Linked DNA regions of Arabidopsis thaliana. The protein of the gene in region 2 interacts with the protein of the main gene of each other region in a pairwise test. Each region holds a gene or a part of one and is shown on either strand. Other genes may lie near its edges. The genes, in order: AT5G58340, GATA6, PRS and RSZ22.

Evidence for each region.
Region 1: the proteins of GATA6 (region 2) and AT5G58340 interact in a two-hybrid assay, tested with the Arabidopsis thaliana proteins (one large-scale study listed by BioGRID).
Region 3: the proteins of GATA6 (region 2) and PRS interact in a two-hybrid assay, tested with the Arabidopsis thaliana proteins (one large-scale study listed by BioGRID).
Region 4: the proteins of GATA6 (region 2) and RSZ22 interact in a two-hybrid assay, tested with the Arabidopsis thaliana proteins (one large-scale study listed by BioGRID).

The regions. Positions count from the first base shown.
Region 1 is NC_003076.8:23,580,761-23,585,697, forward strand, and holds AT5G58340 (myb-like HTH transcriptional regulator family protein), read left to right. Parts: upstream 1-1,734; 5' UTR 1,735-1,846; coding exon 1,847-2,896; intron 2,897-2,982; coding exon 2,983-3,173; intron 3,174-3,288; coding exon 3,289-3,352; intron 3,353-3,443; coding exon 3,444-3,485; 3' UTR 3,486-3,487; exon of another isoform or gene 3,488-3,710; intron 3,711-4,004; 3' UTR 4,005-4,067; exon of another isoform or gene 4,068-4,234; 3' UTR 4,235-4,388; downstream 4,389-4,937. Other genes in the region: AT5G58330 (lactate/malate dehydrogenase family protein), read right to left, coding at 22-123, 205-279, 356-446, 537-874, 965-1,051, 1,170-1,263, 1,355-1,527; WNK4 (with no lysine (K) kinase 4), read left to right, coding at 4,745-4,804, 4,879-4,937.
Region 2 is NC_003074.8:18,971,523-18,975,448, forward strand, and holds GATA6 (GATA transcription factor 6), read left to right. Parts: upstream 1-1,603; 5' UTR 1,604-1,818; intron 1,819-2,110; 5' UTR 2,111-2,116; coding exon 2,117-2,374; intron 2,375-2,465; coding exon 2,466-3,146; 3' UTR 3,147-3,370; downstream 3,371-3,926. Other genes in the region: AT3G51070 (S-adenosyl-L-methionine-dependent methyltransferases superfamily protein), read left to right, coding at 1-202, 285-479, 562-769. UniProt on the Arabidopsis thaliana protein: Transcriptional activator that specifically binds 5'-GATA-3' or 5'-GAT-3' motifs within gene promoters. May be involved in the regulation of some light-responsive genes.
Region 3 is NC_003071.7:12,260,248-12,264,104, forward strand, and holds PRS (Homeodomain-like superfamily protein), read left to right. Parts: upstream 1-1,765; 5' UTR 1,766-1,867; coding exon 1,868-2,311; intron 2,312-2,748; coding exon 2,749-3,039; 3' UTR 3,040-3,348; downstream 3,349-3,857. UniProt on the Arabidopsis thaliana protein: Probable transcription factor required to initiate organ founder cells in a lateral domain of shoot meristems.
Region 4 is NC_003075.7:15,304,508-15,309,542, forward strand, and holds RSZ22 (serine/arginine-rich 22), read left to right. Parts: upstream 1-2,036; 5' UTR 2,037-2,260; exon of another isoform or gene 2,261-2,264; intron 2,265-2,463; 5' UTR 2,464-2,475; coding exon 2,476-2,564; intron 2,565-2,667; coding exon 2,668-2,756; intron 2,757-2,930; coding exon 2,931-3,183; intron 3,184-3,262; coding exon 3,263-3,397; intron 3,398-3,520; coding exon 3,521-3,557; 3' UTR 3,558-4,528; downstream 4,529-5,035. Other genes in the region: AT4G31570 (nucleoporin), read left to right, coding at 1-204, 278-933, 1,027-1,162, 1,260-1,362, 1,427-1,529. UniProt on the Arabidopsis thaliana protein: Sequence-specific RNA-binding protein probably involved in pre-mRNA splicing. In vitro, can complement efficiently splicing-deficient mammalian SRSF7-depleted HeLa cell extract.

The DNA.
Region 1 (4,937 bases), on a different chromosome or scaffold from region 2:
TCAGAGGAATCGCCATCTTACCTTCTGCACACTCTCAGTGAATCCCTCTTCTAACCATTTGTGATCTGTAATAACCTCCTTCACAGGCAGGCCATTAATTCTGGCATTTAAGAAGTCTGGCACCTAATTTTCCTCTAAAAGATTAGAGAAACATCCCAAGATAAATGTAGAGAATAGATGACACTAGAGTAAGATAAGGCAAACCTGAGTCGTGGAGTGATTTCCCCATATGGTCATATTAGACACTTTGTCATAGAAAACACCGGCTTTAAGAGCAAGCTACAAAATGGAAATTGTCAATCATATGTATGCAAATATATTGCATACAATCACATATAGGTGTGAAATCTAGTACCTGGCATTTGGCACGATTTTCGTCTAACCTCGTGAGGGCATGGAAGTTCTTTGCAGGAATGTTGGGAGCATTTTTAAGACAAATCAAGGCACTGAAAGAACACAAAATGAGGTAAAGTATACTTCCAATGTTTGTCACTGATTACGATATGAAGAGGGTTGAATTAAGGAATGTAGCTTACTTGGTGTTGCAAGGGTTTCCCACTACAAGAACCTTGACGTTAGGAGAGGCAGCTTTGTTCAGAGCTTTGCCCTGCTCAGCAAAGATTTGGCCATTGATGTCCAACAAGTCAGCACGTTCCATTCCAGGGCCTCGAGGTTTTGCTCCAATCAGAATAGCCCACTCCACATCTTGGAACACTTCATTTGGATCTGTTCCTATATCAACTTCTCTCAACAATGGGAACAATGAATCCTCCAGTTCCATTGCAACACCTTCAAGAGCTTGAATTGATCTCTCTGATCCTAGCAGTTTCAATGCAATGGGTTGATCTGGACCAAATACTTCCCCTGAAGCAAGCTACACACCCGGAAAACCAAAGATACATAAAATAAGACCAATTATTGGTAACCTTATCCTATAAAACAGTAACTTAAAGGATTAACTTACTTTGAAGAGAAGATGGTTAGAAATCATTCCTGCAGCACCTGAAACTGCAATATTAATTAACTTCTTCCATGATCTTGTCTCTTCTTCCTGGCAAACACACACATAATACTATTATATCCATGTAAAGCAGAGGATTATCTCAATTCTCAAGTCTCAAAGATAAGATTCTTTTATAGAAAAATAGTAAGAGGGAATAGTAAGATACAGCTTTAAGATCATAGGTGAGGCAGAACACTCCATAACACTCTTTCTTCGTCTTCACCAATCCATTTTCTTGCACAGCAACAGGAGCTTGGCTACTTTTATCATCAATTCACAAAAGCATCTAAGATCAGATAAAGTTGATTTATTTAAGAGAGAAGAAACGATTAGGAGCTTAAAGAGACTTACTTTTGAGAAACGGAGCAAGAGATTTTGGAGTTGGGAGTTGTTGTGTGGAGAGGTGGAAGAAGAAGATGGCGAAAGTGGTTTGAAAGGTGCAATTTTGAAGAGAGACGAAGCCGAGACGAAGAGTTGAGAAAAGGCGACGTCGTTTTGGGGGTTGAGAGCTCTGCCATGGCCATTATCGCACAGACACAAACTGTGAAAGTGAGATTTCAGAACTGGAACTATGGAGAGAGAGCGCGCCAAGCGACAGAGTAGTAAGAAAGAGGATTGGGGAATCTATGGATAAGGCTCAGCTCTTGACACTTGTCACTCTTTTAGCATCCTCACCGTTTATCTTCTTTTGACTTTTAGGCCCAGTTAAGGCCCAATAACAGAATATACCTGAAACCGTTCGAATTTGATCACTGATCGGAGATTTTCGTCTTCGCCGGCGACATTGCATCCGCTGACCAGAGAATTAAAAAAGTTGCGACTTTGATCGCGAAAGTTTCAATAATGGAGGTCATTGATCAATGGGTTGCTGAATTTTTCCTCCTTCGACAACACAATCCTAGGGCTTCCCCTATTAATCTGATTTCGGCGCTAAAATTAGGAGATTCCTCCGACTGCATAAAGCTCAAGATATCTTCCGTCTTGCGTGACATCTCCAATTCATTGATCCGAGGTACGATTGATGAGGGAATGCTCGATCTTCTCGAGATTCTTGAGAAGCTTCTCTTGCAGCAACATTCGCTACTCATGGATTCTCACAAGTCTGCTTATTGCTGGACGGCTACTGAGTGTACGCTTAGATTTATGTGGCCAATGTTTGCTTCGGATGGTTTGTTCACCGATGCGCTTGAGAGGATATGGACGAAGAGGATTGGGATTTTGAAGGAGAGTGGTAGCGATTTGGTGACTTGTGACTTGTTGAAATGGGAGAGTGATTTGAAGAAGGCCCTTGGAGATCCTGAGCTCTATCAGCGAATTCGTGAGACTAACATCAGGTACACTGCCATTTCCTTTCTCACTCAGCTTCTCAAAGAACAGTGGGCATTACTTGGGAGTTCCTCTCTTGAATCAGTAGCTCAAAGAAGGTTTCTTAAGCGCAAGGCTGTGAACGTAGAGGGTGATGTTGTTGACAACAGAGGGGATCAAAGTGATGTTGATGAAAGCACGAGACGTTTTGGGAGTGATACTATTGATATCGCCAACGAGGCGCGTGGTGAAAGGGAGGACGGGAATGGGATTGGTAGAGACAACGCTAATGATGGTGAAGGAATGGAATGTCTGGAGAATGATGGGATTGATAATGTGAATGCAGCAGACGAGGAGCACACAGTGAGTGCACAAGATCAGGAACATGAGCCAAGTCTTGATAAGGGAGACGAAATGGCTGCTCGAGAGCTGAAGGAATATTTAGTAGAGATTCAAGGACACATCGACCCTTCCACTAGGCAAGGGGAAGAACCTAACAGTGCAATTGATCACTCAGTAGATGTCACTCCTCCGCCTACTCGGGTGAATAGGACTGGAACAGGCTGTCAAGACCATAACGAAGCATCGGTGAGTGTTAGTCAATTTTCCCTCAAGATGCTTTCTAAAAATCTTGTTCTTTGGTTCATGAATTTGTGGTTTAATTGTGAAAACAGGATAATGTAAATGAGAAAGGTTCGGATAGTCAGGAAACATGGTCTAGCAGAGTTCGGCCTCGTCGACCAACCCCTGTAACTCTGAGTGTATCTCCATTAAAGAAAGGCGGATTGGCGAAACCACATGTCAGGAGACCAAAGAAATTCTGGAAGCCAGAAGAAGTGGAAGCTCTGAGGGAAGGAGTAAAAGAGTATGCAAACACTCTTTGCCTAGTCCCGTACTCTATTATCAATATTCAATAGTGATACATCTTGGACCTCATTAAGATTATACCACTGGCTCATTTTGTTGTTGTTGTTGTGCAGGTATGGTAAATCATGGAAAGATATAAAGAATGGAAACCCTACAGTATTTGCGGAGAGGACAGAGGTGAACATTTCCTTATTAACATTCATACTCACCATTTACTTGAACAAGATATATGCCAAGTGTGAGTGATGTAAATGTTGTAACTTGGTAGGTGGATTTGAAAGATAAATGGAGGAACTTAGTCGGTGGGTAGAGGTAACATCTTTTGTGAATCTTGTGCTATATGTTTTAAAATGCTGTAGAGTTATTTACCTTTGTGTATTGTGATATATCAACTGTGGAGAACATGGTGGAGAAAGGGCCATTCCCATGTTGTGTGGTGAATGATAATGATGAATGAGCAGAATATAATTATATGCTTGTGGGAAAAATTCTGGCTGCAACCTCTGTAGTCAGTCAGTGTCAAACTTATACGGCTTTTCTTGTTTTAGATATATTCCATCCTTATCTTCATTTCCTAATTCCTACCATGCTTCCCTCTCTCCTTTTCCACGTGTCAACTAACATCTAAACCAGAACAAAACAGTAGTCAAAAAATGCATAACCATTTTGATCTATGATATTGCCTGTCAAACATTCGGACCCTCCTTAGATATTGCCTGTTAACATTCAGACCCTCCTTAGATAAAAAGCGAAGTAATATGATGGGAGCTCTCATGCACATACTTTATTGGTGAATGCATATTTGTTACGTGTTATTAGTTTATTACAGAACCGTGAACTCCTTGAGGGCTGCAGGAACTGGCCGCCAACAAAAACAAAACAATTTTCAACGGTGATGTCACTATCACTCTATTCTCTACAACTTCTTGTCATGTTCCCCACTTCTGTTCTGACTTTTCCCCTTTTCTTTGTCGTTTTATTTTTGTTAACCTCAATCTATTTATTTTGGATTGCTTGTGTTCACCAAACTAATAATTGGTTCAATTGAAAATTGTGCAGTTTCCTCAAGAAACAAAACTCTTTCCTGAATATCGCATTTCCCAGTATCCACACTTTCTTAACTCTTATCCTCTTTGCAATTGTGTTTGTGGTTCACAAAATAAACAAGGGCATCTTTTGAGCATATTTAGCCATGTGTTTTCAATGTGGTACACGTTTGATGATTTTTTTTTCATTTTTGTGGTTTGAGTATCTTGTATTGGCAAGTAAGATTTGTCAAACTTTCGATTTTTAGATTTACAATTGGGTCAATAAAAATAAATATATGATTTTCTATAATATATGTGATGCAAGCAAGGTTAAGGCAAATTGTCTTTATTCTTTTTATCCCAAATGGGTGATTGACGCCAACGACTGTTCAACATATTTTCTGCTGACGCTTCTTTAATGAAGTAGCACGAAGAAGTAAACAGGACGACTTTTGGCCACCGGAAAATTTCTCTGTTATAAAAACGAAAGTCTGTGTCCTCTTAAACATTTTTGGGATCATCAATCGGTTTTTGGTCAACCATGAATATGAATCAAGTTGCAGAGTATGTGGAAACTGATCCAACTGGTCGCTATGGACGTGTAAGTAAGGAGACAGATTCTATGTTCATGGATCAAAACCTTGTTGTAACACTTGGTTTTTTATGTTGGAACAGTTTGCAGAAATTCTTGGAAGGGGAGCGATGAAGACAGTGTACAAAGCAATCGACGAGAA
Region 2 (3,926 bases):
TGAATTGGCCCCGTCGGCTTCAAACACCGCCTTACTGGTTAAACAGCTCTCAAATGGGGATATATGGGAAACCAGCTCCTCGAGATTTCACTACAGATTATGAACACTGGAAACATGTTGTAAGCAAAGTATACATGAATGAAATAGGAATCAGCTGGTCAAATGTGAGGAATGTAATGGACATGCGAGCTGTCTACGGAGGGTGAGCATCAACGAAAACAAATCAAACTAAAATCTCACTTACCAAAACTAAACCTTTTTTTACTAACTACGTAAAAATGCAGGTTTGCAGCAGCTCTGAAGGACCTACAGGTGTGGGTAATGAATGTAGTAAACATAAATTCACCAGATACACTACCGATAATCTACGAGAGAGGCCTATTCGGAATATATCATGACTGGTGTGAATCATTTAGCACATACCCTCGAAGCTATGATCTCTTACATGCAGATCATCTTTTCTCAAAGTTGAGAACAAGGTATAAGCGTAACTCATAATATCCACACCTTTTGGTAACGTTTCATCAACAATAAGTCTCTTGTTTTGTTTTGTTTTGAAAGGTGCAATCTTGTTCCAGTAATGGCAGAAGTGGATAGAATAGTAAGACCAGGAGGTAAACTAATAGTTCGTGACGAATCAAATGTGATAAGAGAAGTTGAGAACATGTTGAAGTCACTGCACTGGGATGTTCACTTAACTTTCTCCAAACACCAAGAAGGAATCTTAAGTGCACAAAAAGGATTCTGGAGACCAGAAACTTCTCAATGAAAGACGCTCTGAGAATCTGCATTTGAAAGTAGCAGAAGCATCATTATAATACAACACACTACTCATATCTATAATCCCCAAAAGAATTTGTCAGTATAAGAAATAGCTTTAGTCTTCTTAAACTATATAGACTAATTAGAACATTTTTGTTTTCCTTACTTCATATTGCTTTTTTTAACATGGTTATGATATTCTCTTGTAAGGCTATGAATCATTTCACTGGGAAAAGTAAGGCACACCAATAAATGAAATTTTGTTCCAACAAGTAGAAACATAGCAGTAATGAAGAAGAGATTATGATGCTTTAGCGATACCACAAGCCAAATTCACCATAAGCTATTGACAGGTAGCGAAAAGTCAAATTACAAAAGGAATAAAGTAGACATGAAATGAAACCAACAATCTTAAGCCCACATATGAATTCAAAAGAGAGGTTAAGAAAGAAGAGAATCTGACATCATGGGCAGAGTAGGAGCTGAAGAAGATGGGTTTCTGCAAATTTGAAGCTTTTAATCGCATATCGCTGAGTAATCATCACAAACAGTTTTGAATTGAAGAAGACGGGAGGAGAAAAGCCATTGTTAATGAGATACCCAAATCGTAAAATTTCAGAAAGCCCAGCCCAACATAGCCCAATACAGCCCAAATATGTATGTGATTGGGTAACGAAAACGAGACCGTTCTTTTTTCAGTCATCTCTCGTTTCACAGTAGCGCGTATGTACGCTTTGAATTTACAAAAAGTAGACATTTTTATGAATTTTTGCCGGTTGAGTAAAAAGGTAAAAAAAAATAGTTCCCACCAAAGCAAAATATTTCAATTTTTATCTTTTTTTTTTGGTTCTTGGGAAAATAAGAGATTGAGAAAGAATAAAGAAGAGAAACTCACAACTTTTTTAGTTTTAGGAGAAGAGGGCTTTGGTCTGGAGTCACTATCATATTCAATGCTTTACCAAACTCACCTCTTCTTCTAAATTCTCACCACTCTTCTTCTTCTTCTCATTCACCGACATATCTCCTCTCTTCACTCTCTGTCTCTTCTCATCTCAGGTAATTCCAATTTTAGTTTTTTTTGAAGGTTACTTACTCGTCACATTGTTTGAAAAAGATTGAATTTTTATCTGTGGCTTAGTCAAATCATGGTTCGTTTCACCAAGTTGTGGTTCTGGGTTTTCGTGATTTTTCTTTTGGGTTTTTCTGTTTGAATTTGGAAAAATAAAGGAACGTTTTTTTTTTCGGGGGGAGTTTTTTTTTTAAAGATAATTTTTGGAGAGTTTTTGATAATTCTGAGGAAGCCAAAAGAAAAGAAGAAAACCTAATTTGTGTTGGTGGGGTTTGATAGGAAATAATGGAGAGTGTTGAATTGACGTTGAAGAACAGTAACATGAAAGACAAAACCCTAACCGGCGGCGCTCAAAATGGCGATGATTTCTCCGTCGACGACTTGCTTGACTTCTCAAAAGAAGAAGAAGACGACGACGTTTTGGTTGAGGATGAGGCTGAATTGAAAGTACAACGAAAAAGAGGAGTCTCTGACGAAAATACCCTTCACCGGAGCAACGATTTCTCCACCGCTGATTTCCACACTAGCGGGCTTTCCGTTCCGGTATGAATTTGTGTTTTCATTTTCGCAAAATTTATAAAAATTATCAGTCATTGCATTGTTAATTTCTTGCTTTTCATGTTTTGATTGTTAGATGGATGATATAGCGGAACTTGAATGGTTATCAAATTTCGTAGATGATTCTTCTTTCACGCCGTATTCTGCTCCGACGAATAAACCGGTTTGGTTAACCGGAAATCGGAGACATCTTGTACAACCGGTTAAAGAGGAGACCTGCTTCAAATCCCAACATCCGGCCGTCAAAACCAGACCCAAACGAGCCAGAACCGGAGTCAGAGTCTGGTCTCATGGTTCGCAGTCGTTAACCGACTCATCTTCAAGCTCTACAACATCTTCGTCGTCCTCTCCTCGTCCTTCAAGCCCTCTATGGCTCGCCAGCGGTCAGTTTCTTGATGAGCCAATGACTAAAACACAAAAGAAGAAGAAAGTTTGGAAAAACGCTGGTCAGACGCAAACGCAAACGCAGACGCAGACGCGGCAGTGTGGTCATTGTGGAGTTCAGAAAACGCCGCAGTGGAGAGCAGGACCATTAGGAGCGAAGACGTTGTGTAATGCGTGTGGTGTGCGTTACAAATCGGGTCGGTTACTACCCGAATATAGACCCGCTTGTAGCCCAACATTTTCGAGTGAGCTTCACTCAAACCACCACAGTAAAGTCATTGAGATGCGTAGGAAGAAAGAGACTTCTGACGGTGCTGAAGAAACCGGTTTGAACCAGCCGGTTCAGACGGTTCAGGTTGTCTCGAGTTTTTGAAGAAATTGTGGAAGGTTTTTAAAGGAGCAGAATTAGGATCCGACCCGGTTCAGATTTATCACCAGTTAGTATGTTAACGGGTTATGTATGTTTTAAATTACAAATTTGATTTTTTGTTTGTTAGTCGTAGTAGGTTTTTAGATTTAGTAACTGGTTAAAACTTTTAAAACTCTTACTATTATATTTGTTTTGTTTCGCATTAATTTTCAGAATTCTTTTTTTCTTAACCTCCTCTAACGTTATATTTACGTTATAATATATAGTTTTTATATTAATTGATAGAGATGGTTCATTTTCTAGTTAGAATGTATGCTCAATAATTATTGGTAGACTGATAGTTATCAAGTGTATAAAATATGAGATCAATTTATACCAAATTAGGAGTAGGCTTTATTTCAGGGTTAGTAACTCCAATTTTTTGTTGTTACTTATTTATATCCATCACATTTTCTCTTGTATTTCTAAAATTGACATAATATAACTGAAAAAAAAAACAAATTTCACAAATAAAAATATATACAATAACTGAAAAAAGAAAAATAAACGTACTGGGCACACTCTCTTATTGACTAATTTATTACTCTGCGTATTTTTGGAGATTGAATACGACCTTAGTTGACGTGATAATATTATCCATTTTTGCAATGTGATAATATTCGTTGACCATATCTTTGAGATTATCACGAATTACCAATTTACCTTGGGACTTTATTCCTCGTATGGTTTTAGTTGAGTTGACTATTAATAATAGCTTTTAGTACGTGTTTCGTAAATGCTGCA
Region 3 (3,857 bases), on a different chromosome or scaffold from region 2:
GCATGCCGGAACCAATCAACCTAAACTAATACTCCGGCATTAAGATACGTATATGTATTGTGTTTTCGTTAGTATATATAGCCACCTAATAAATAGGACTTTAATTACTTGAACTAAATCATGAAAATTAAATATCTAACTTTTTACGGTTATATCACCGACCTGAAACTCTTTTTTTATTTTCTTTTCAAAAAGCCGACCTGAAACTTTCTTCACCAAACCTAACAAATCGAGCTATAAACTTTATAGGTTTTTAACTGAAATATTATTGGTAATGTAGAATTTAAAAATGTGGAATTTCAATATGATTATTTCTAGAAGAGGACATTAATATCCTTTAGTCCCAAAAGAATTGAATATCCAGAATCAAGAATGTTGACAGAGGGGCAGAGACAGGGCTTTGGAGCCTATAGACAACTAATATATAGGTGCGAATGCTAATGCATGCAATGTTTTTGCATGCAGACGTTAAAGTCAAAATGCTCAGTTTCTGGAGATTCTAAACAGACAATTCTATGCCTGATGTGATATTTGAAACTCATTTTTATGTCTTAATTTACAAAATTTGTTAAATCAATACATGTCAATGTGTAAATTAAAAGTAAATGTACTTCTGATTATAATGGTGTATGTTAGATCATGAAAACATAATTAATACATAGAACGCGTATATTTTCATTTCACATTGGTGTACCTATTTACTAGCTTGTCTGTCCATGTAAAGATTTGAGAAATTTAACCATTTTTTTCTTTTAATATGATGTGTCAACGTCATCCTGTTGAGAGAAGTAAATCATAATAAAGTAATTATGACATAATCATTTAATTGTTTCTCTTCATTCTCTCTCTACATACATGCATATTCACACAGATACATATGTACACATATGTTTATATATTCTAGGTCTTGATATGATTGATCATATTTTAGTGATAATATCTAATTATAATTTTTTGTGGAACTTTTTATAATCTATAAAAATGTAAATTTATCATTTGTTAATGAGTACTGGCGTTTCTCTTTGTTTTGTATGTTTCACCTTTCTGCACAAAAATAAAAATGAGACTGTGGTTTTATGTTTGTACACAGAAGGATGAGTCAATGTCTTAATTAATTGTAAGAGAGAATTGTATATATTTTAAAAACCTATTGAATGATCCACCTCGAGAACCCATACACCTTCATTGTTTCTCTTTGATTTTTGTTCCTTTTCTCTTTCTCTCCCCTTTTAAGAGAAAAGGCACATAATTTTGGAGAATGTCGTAAGCTATTCTACAAAACTTTTTTCTTACATAGAGTGATTATATGTTTTACAAAGTGATTATGTAACGTTTCTTTCTATTTAAAACCAATGATGTTTGAGTTATTTGCATTTTGCAACCAATGATGTTTGAATTATGTGCCGTTCGATTATATCCCCTATATTAATATACACTACTGTAGACGAAAGTGAAAACTCCCGACAAAATAAACTTTGAAAGGTGAAAACTATAGTTATTCCAAAAAATATATTCCTTTATACATATATACTAAATTCACATTTACAGAAGTAGAGTACGTAATGTAATAATTTTGGGAGCATATGAGATTGGGCCAGTTTGAATACAACATAAAAAACAATATAGTACAATGTTCTTTCTTTATGTTTATTTTCTGTCTAACCCTTCCTTCTCTTGCGTCCCTTTCCAATGCACTTTAATATTTATAACTTTACCATTTTCTCTCTAACCATATAAACATCCGTTTTCGCGTATAAATAACCTCATCCACACACACACACATCTCTCTCTATATAACCCTAAGTGTTTGGAGATAGCATCACTAGAGAACACACACACAAAGCATCAATATTTGTCTGAACGGAGAATGAGTCCTGTGGCTTCAACGAGGTGGTGTCCGACGCCGGAGCAACTGATGATCTTGGAAGAGATGTACCGGAGTGGTATACGGACTCCGAATGCGGTGCAGATACAACAGATCACAGCTCACTTGGCGTTCTATGGAAGAATCGAGGGCAAAAACGTCTTTTACTGGTTCCAGAACCATAAGGCTAGAGATAGACAGAAGCTGAGGAAGAAACTAGCCAAGCAACTTCACCAGCAACAACATCAACTTCAACTCCAACTTCAGCAGATCAAACCAAAACCAATATCATCGATGATTTCTCAACCAGTTAATAAGAATATCATCGATCATCACAATCCTTATCATCATCACCATCATAATCATCATCATAATCATCATCGTCCATATGATCATATGTCCTTTGATTGCTGCTCTCATCCTTCTCCCATGTGTCTTCCTCATCAGGTATGTAATTAAGAAGAGTCTACTTTTCTCTCTTTTTGTTAAACATTTTTCTTTCATAAGATTTTTTTAATGCAATGTTTATCATCAAAATAGCTAGGTTACATATGGATATAACCAAAACATTTGTATACCTACAAAAAGAAGAAGAAAAACATAATTGAAGAACTAATCTCAAACCTTAAAATTATTTATGATAATTTTTTTAATTACCGGAAACACTAATTTCAAACCTTTAAAATACCAAATGTTTTTGGCTATTATACCCTGTTTACATGGCTAGATGGGAAAGCTGCAAGTGAGAATACTTTTTTTGGGGTCTAGAATAAAAAAATTTTTTTTTTGGTTTTAAAAAGGAATAACAACTTGTTAATATGTTTACTACAATTTTCTTTTGTTAGTTTTATATTGTATGATGATCATTGTTATGGAAAATATAGGGAACTGGAGTAGGAGAAGCTCCAAGCAAAGTGATGAATGAATATTACTGCACCAAAAGTGGAGCTGAAGAGATATTGATGCAAAAATCAATCACGGGTCCAAACTCATCGTACGGTCGAGATTGGATGATGATGATGGATATGGGCCCACGACCATCATATCCCTCATCATCATCATCACCCATTTCATGTTGTAACATGATGATGAGCAGTCCAAAGATACCATTGAAAACCCTGGAACTTTTCCCAATCTCATCTATCAACTCCAAACAAGACAGTACCAAACTTTAAAGAAAAGACAACAAATACAAAAGAGATTCTGCAGGTGTTTCATTCATGTATCACTGTATGATGTGTCAAAGGCTAAGAAGAAAACACGTGTACTTGAGGGTAAAGTAATAGCCGTTGGATATAATTCGTTGAATAACTACAAATCTCTCTCTCTCTTCTTTCATATGTCTCTATCTCCGCAGTAGAACTAATGGGTACTTTTCTTTAAATTAATTTTGTTAAAAGTTCTTTTCTTTTTATAAGATCTTTGATGGGGTTTGGGAGTTATTATGAGTTGTTAAAATGGGTGTCTTGGTTTCTGTAATTGCATGCATGCATGTGTAGGCTATTGTCTTTAGGACTAGACAGTGAGAAAGATCTCCTTTGTCTAACGTGTAACTTCACTCTTTATTTTGATGTGGTCACCTTTCCTTTTGATATGTACTATGATTCTCTCCTTTCTCTCTTTTATTTTCTCATGATGATAATAATTTAAAAGTGATTACAAAGCTTTTTTACTAATTACAACTTCACATCACATATTTTTATGGTTTGGCAAAAAGATAAAATAAATATAGTATGACTTACGTTTTTGTGTTATATACAAAATGTTAAAAATGTATGGGAAATAAATTATTGTGGTTAAATTAACTTATTTTTTGTGTTATAAACAAACTGTTAAAAACACATGCATTATATATAATAAGATTTTTAAAATATTGTTTACTCGAAAAAAATCGATAAAGTTCAATAGATGGTGAACAAAAAAACTCAGTTCTGGCGCAGCTAGATGTGTAAGTGGTTAGTTATGAGGTTGATTTATCAGGTTTTTTGGTTTG
Region 4 (5,035 bases), on a different chromosome or scaffold from region 2:
AGGCTGGTGCAAAAATCTTTGCGGAAGATCTTCAATCTGCAAGTGCCCGGATGCGTGATATGCAAGACCAGCTGGGTATTTTGGTTCGGGAACGGGATTCTATGAAGGAGAGAGTAAAAGAGCTGCTAGCAGGGCAGGCGTCACACTCAGAATTACAGGAGAAGGTCACATCTCTTAGTGATCTACTAGCTGCGAAAGACCTAGGTCAGTTTTTCTCTTTTACCCTTTTGTTTTTGCACCGCCACATATATAGCTGATACCTAATTGCTTCCTGCAGAAATTGAGGCCTTAATGCAAGCGCTTGACGAGGAAGAGTCTCAGATGGAGGATCTGAAACTCAGAGTTACAGAATTAGAACAGGAAGTGCAACAGAAGAACCTAGACTTGCAGAAAGCTGAAGCTTCTCGTGGGAAGATTTCCAAAAAGCTATCAATTACTGTGGATAAATTCGATGAGCTCCATCACCTCTCTGAAAATCTTCTTGCTGAAATCGAGAAACTTCAACAGCAAGTGCAAGATCGGGATACAGAGGTTTCTTTCTTAAGACAAGAAGTCACTAGGTGCACCAATGAGGCTCTTGCTGCTTCTCAGATGGGCACTAAGAGAGATTCAGAAGAGATCCAAACTGTACTGTCTTGGTTCGACACGATAGCTTCACTACTTGGTATAGAAGATTCGCTGTCCACTGATGCTGACAGTCATATAAACCACTACATGGAGACATTTGAGAAAAGGATAGCGTCTATGCTATCTGAAATAGACGAATTACGGTTGGTTGGACAAAGCAAGGACGTTTTGCTTGAAGGCGAGAGGAGTAGAGTGGCTGAGCTCAGACAGAAAGAAGCAACTCTTGAGAAATTCTTACTTGAGAAAGAATCCCAACAAGACATTTCAACAAGCTCGACGTCAGAGATCGTTGAAGTGGAACCTCTGGTAAGCTTTGAGCTTGTTAAATAGTTACACCATTCCAGATGCCTCAAGATGATAAATTTTTAATTGTGGATTTTTTTTTGTTGGATATCACAGATAAACAAGTGGACAAAAACATCGATTCCATCACAAGTCCGGAGTTTGCGTAAGGGAAATATGGATCAAGTCGCCATTAGTATAGATGCAGATCAAACTGATCAAAGCGGTAGCTTAGAAGAAGATGATGATAAAGGTAATTAAACTTGTCTCTGAATATTTAGTACTTTTAACAACATTTCTTAGTAACATTCCCATTTGTATTTTTTCTGTTTTTTAGCTCATGGTTTCAGATCACTCTCTACGTCAAGAATCATTCCTAGATTCACAAGACCCATCACTAACATGGTCGATGGTTTATGGTCAGACTCTTTTCATCCATGGATCTCGTTCAGTGTAAAGTTCTTTAATTATGATCTAACAAAAAACGACCCTTTTATTTGGTTTCTGAACTTTTCAGGGTCTCTTGTGATCGGACGCTCATGAGACAACCTGCTTTACGGTTAGGGATCATGCTATACTGGGCGATATTGCATGCTCTTTTGGCTGCTTTCGTGGTCTAACCAAACTTCCAATTTCGTAAGCTCATTACTGACTTTTTTTTTTTTAATCCCAAAACAAGTTGCAAAGAGTAGCTTGATTTGCTAAGCTTTTAAGACGTGTTTTAATCGTATATTTGCAGCTGGTTTCTCGTTATAGCATGCATGGGCTCATCAAAGTGGTGATGTGTTGTCGTCTCCAACACTAATTTTTTTTTTTTTTTTTTTTTTTTTTTTTTGTCTTTGTCTTTGTTTTTAATTCATTGTTTAGCTTATATTAACCAAGCAAACTGTGGTTTCAGCATTTTTATTGATCCGAATCACAAACTGCTTGGGTTTTCAAACGAATAAGAAAGAAAGTTTATTTAGTAGCTGTGGAATGAAAGTGTGATTTAACTAGAGAGACTTGAAGTTCTATTATTTTTCTTTTTCCCTATTCTGCTATTCATTATTTTCAGAAATACAAAGCAAAATACGTGAAATGATCACATTTAAGTATTTAACAAACTATACAGAGAAAAAATAAATATCACCGACACTAACATATTATTGAAAAAAGGCATGAAAAGGCTACTTTTAAGCCCAATAAATAGGCCCAAATTGTATATTTACTAAATTTTGTTAACGCGCTTACAAAACCCTTTGGAAAGTATTTCATCAAATTTCAGATTCAGAAACCCTAATTTCTTCACAAAGCAAAACACAGAAAAAGCCATTCTTTTTGCCCCTTGAGTGCTTTCAGCTCTTCCCACAAGGTAGGTCGCAACCAAGTTTCTTTATCTCCTTCTCACTCTTAATTGTGGTAACGTTGATCCGATCTGTTCAAATTTGATCGGGTCACTTGGTGGATCTAGTGACTCTGTATTTTTTCTCGATGAATTCAAATCCTTTCGAATGTCTTACTAGAAAAGATTTAGAATTCCTTTATGTTGACCTTGGTTTATTGTGCCATTGACAGGTTACAGAAGTAATGTCACGTGTGTACGTCGGAAATTTGGACCCGCGAGTTACTGAGCGTGAACTTGAGGATGAGTTCCGTGCCTTTGGAGTTGTCAGGAGGTAAGAATCAATCCAATCAATCAGTTCGCGCTACAATTTTGTCACTTTTGAAGTTAAAAGTATCCAATTTTGCATCTCTCTAATGTTCATATGTAATGTGCAGTGTTTGGGTTGCCCGTAGACCACCTGGTTACGCTTTTCTAGATTTCGAAGATCCTAGGGATGCCCGTGATGCTATCCGTGCTTTAGATGGTAATGATGCATTCATATTCTTTCTATTTTGCTTTGTTCTCTTAGAAGTTGATGTTTTGATTGGGATTGGAAAATAAGTTTGGTGGAATCTTTTAAAGGAGAGAAATTTGAGGTTTGCAATTACTTTTGACTTGAAACTTCACAATTTGACATGGATATTGTGATAACGGATAGGCAAGAATGGCTGGAGGGTTGAACAGTCTCACAATCGAGGTGAGCGTGGTGGCGGCGGTCGTGGTGGTGACCGTGGAGGTGGTGGCGGCGGCCGTGGTGGTCGTGGTGGCTCTGATTTGAAATGCTATGAATGCGGTGAGACTGGTCATTTCGCACGTGAATGCCGTAACCGTGGTGGAACTGGAAGGCGTCGCAGCAAGAGCCGTAGTCGCACTCCTCCAAGATACAGAAGGAGCCCAAGCTATGGACGGAGGTCAGTGATGCTTTTTATTTTGTTACCTTAGTACCTTATTTTGAACGGATTAAGTAACCTTGCCTTTTTCTGGTTTTAGGAGTTACAGCCCTCGTGCAAGATCTCCCCCTCCTCCAAGGCGCCGCAGTCCTTCTCCTCCTCCTGCCCGTGGCCGCAGCTACAGTAGATCACCACCTCCATACAGAGCGCGTGAGGAAGTGCCATATGCTAATGGGTAAATTTCTTTTTCCCAAGTCTCTATATCATTATCAGTGTTTAGGTTTTGGTTATAGTTCTTAGAGATAAACATTTACATTTTCTTCAGATGCTAATTCAACATCTGTTCTTGTTTCTTCAGAAATGGACTGAAAGAAAGACGCAGAAGCAGGAGCTGAGTGAGTGATTTTGCAAGAAAACGAGTGTGTGGGAGGATACTTTGGAAGAGAAGAAGAGAGGGACTAAGGGAAGTTACTATCATCTATGAATTTCAGTAAGAGAACATGTTTTAGGTCTGCTGGGTTGGATAAAGCTTGCTACTTTTGCTTTTGGATATGAAACGTACGTAGTTGTGTATCTACCAATAGGTAAAAGAACACTTGATTCGTACCCTAGTTTCTTAAAGACATAATGTTTGATTGGAAATTCTGCTAAATGCCTAAGCGTTTCTTGTCTTTTTCCACCGTGTCGAGGTTTCTTCGGGTCTACTACTACTACTACTGCTTCATTGCTTATCTACTTGCTTCTCTACTCTTCTCATATGAAGCATCTTCCTTAGTTTCTTGGCCTACTTCATTGTTTATCTGCTTGCTTCTCTACTCTTCTGCTATGAATCATCTGCATTTAGTTGCTCGGCCTGGTATGGGAAAAGTTAAACCACGGTTGTGGATCCCTAACATCATCTTCATTTAGTTGCTCGGCCTGCTTCATTGTTTATCTACTTGCTTCTCTACTCTTCTGCTATGAATCATCTTCGTTTAGTTACTCGGCCTGCTATGGGAAAAGTTAACTACGGTTGTGGATCCCTACATGGCTTGCTTCTACTTCATCTTCGACCCTAGAGATGCGCTATTGTTTGAAAACTTCATCAGCTTTGAGGTTACCTTCTTTGCATGAACTTGAGCTGCATCACTCAGAAGCACCTCTTGTGTGGTCTGAATGTTGTGCATTAGGTTTAGCATAATTGTAGCTATGTGATAGTGTTTAGTATGCACATTCTTGTCCTTGGATAGATTTTTGTGCATTTCACGGTTTATATAGGCAAGTCAAGAATTTGTAAATGCGTATCAGTTGCTACCATTTGGTACTTGTGTTCATTTCACTTAAGCATAGTTGTGAAATTGTTCACTTTTATGAAGGTGAAGCAAAGTAATTGCCTAAGAGGAAGATTGAATACATAATCTGATTTGCTCTTATTCACGTAACAACTAGCTATGGTTTCGTTTCAGCAACTATAAATCCCAAATTAAGTGAAAAAATAAAAGTATACTTGCGAAGTAGACATGGAGACGTTGTTTTGGCATGACAACAATTAAAAGCCTAGAAAAGCAAGAGAGACAAGATCATGATCCTAGTTCGGTCCCAGAATCATCAACAAACCCACCAAATTAAAATCTGTTTGGTCCCATTCTTCACTTACACATCATTGAATTGATTGTTATGTGACGTAAACCTCTCTGACCTCTGCTTTTTTTCTGCAATTATGCTTCTCCTCATTCCACTTCCTCTGCCGACACTTTTTTTGCTCCACGTTTCTTCACTTTTCACCGACACTAAGTTGAGAATGTCCTAAGATCCTCAGAGAATACAATAAATATTGGTCTTTCTCTTGTTTCAGTTTAGTCAGAAAACTGGTTCTTGTTAGTTATTTACAGTT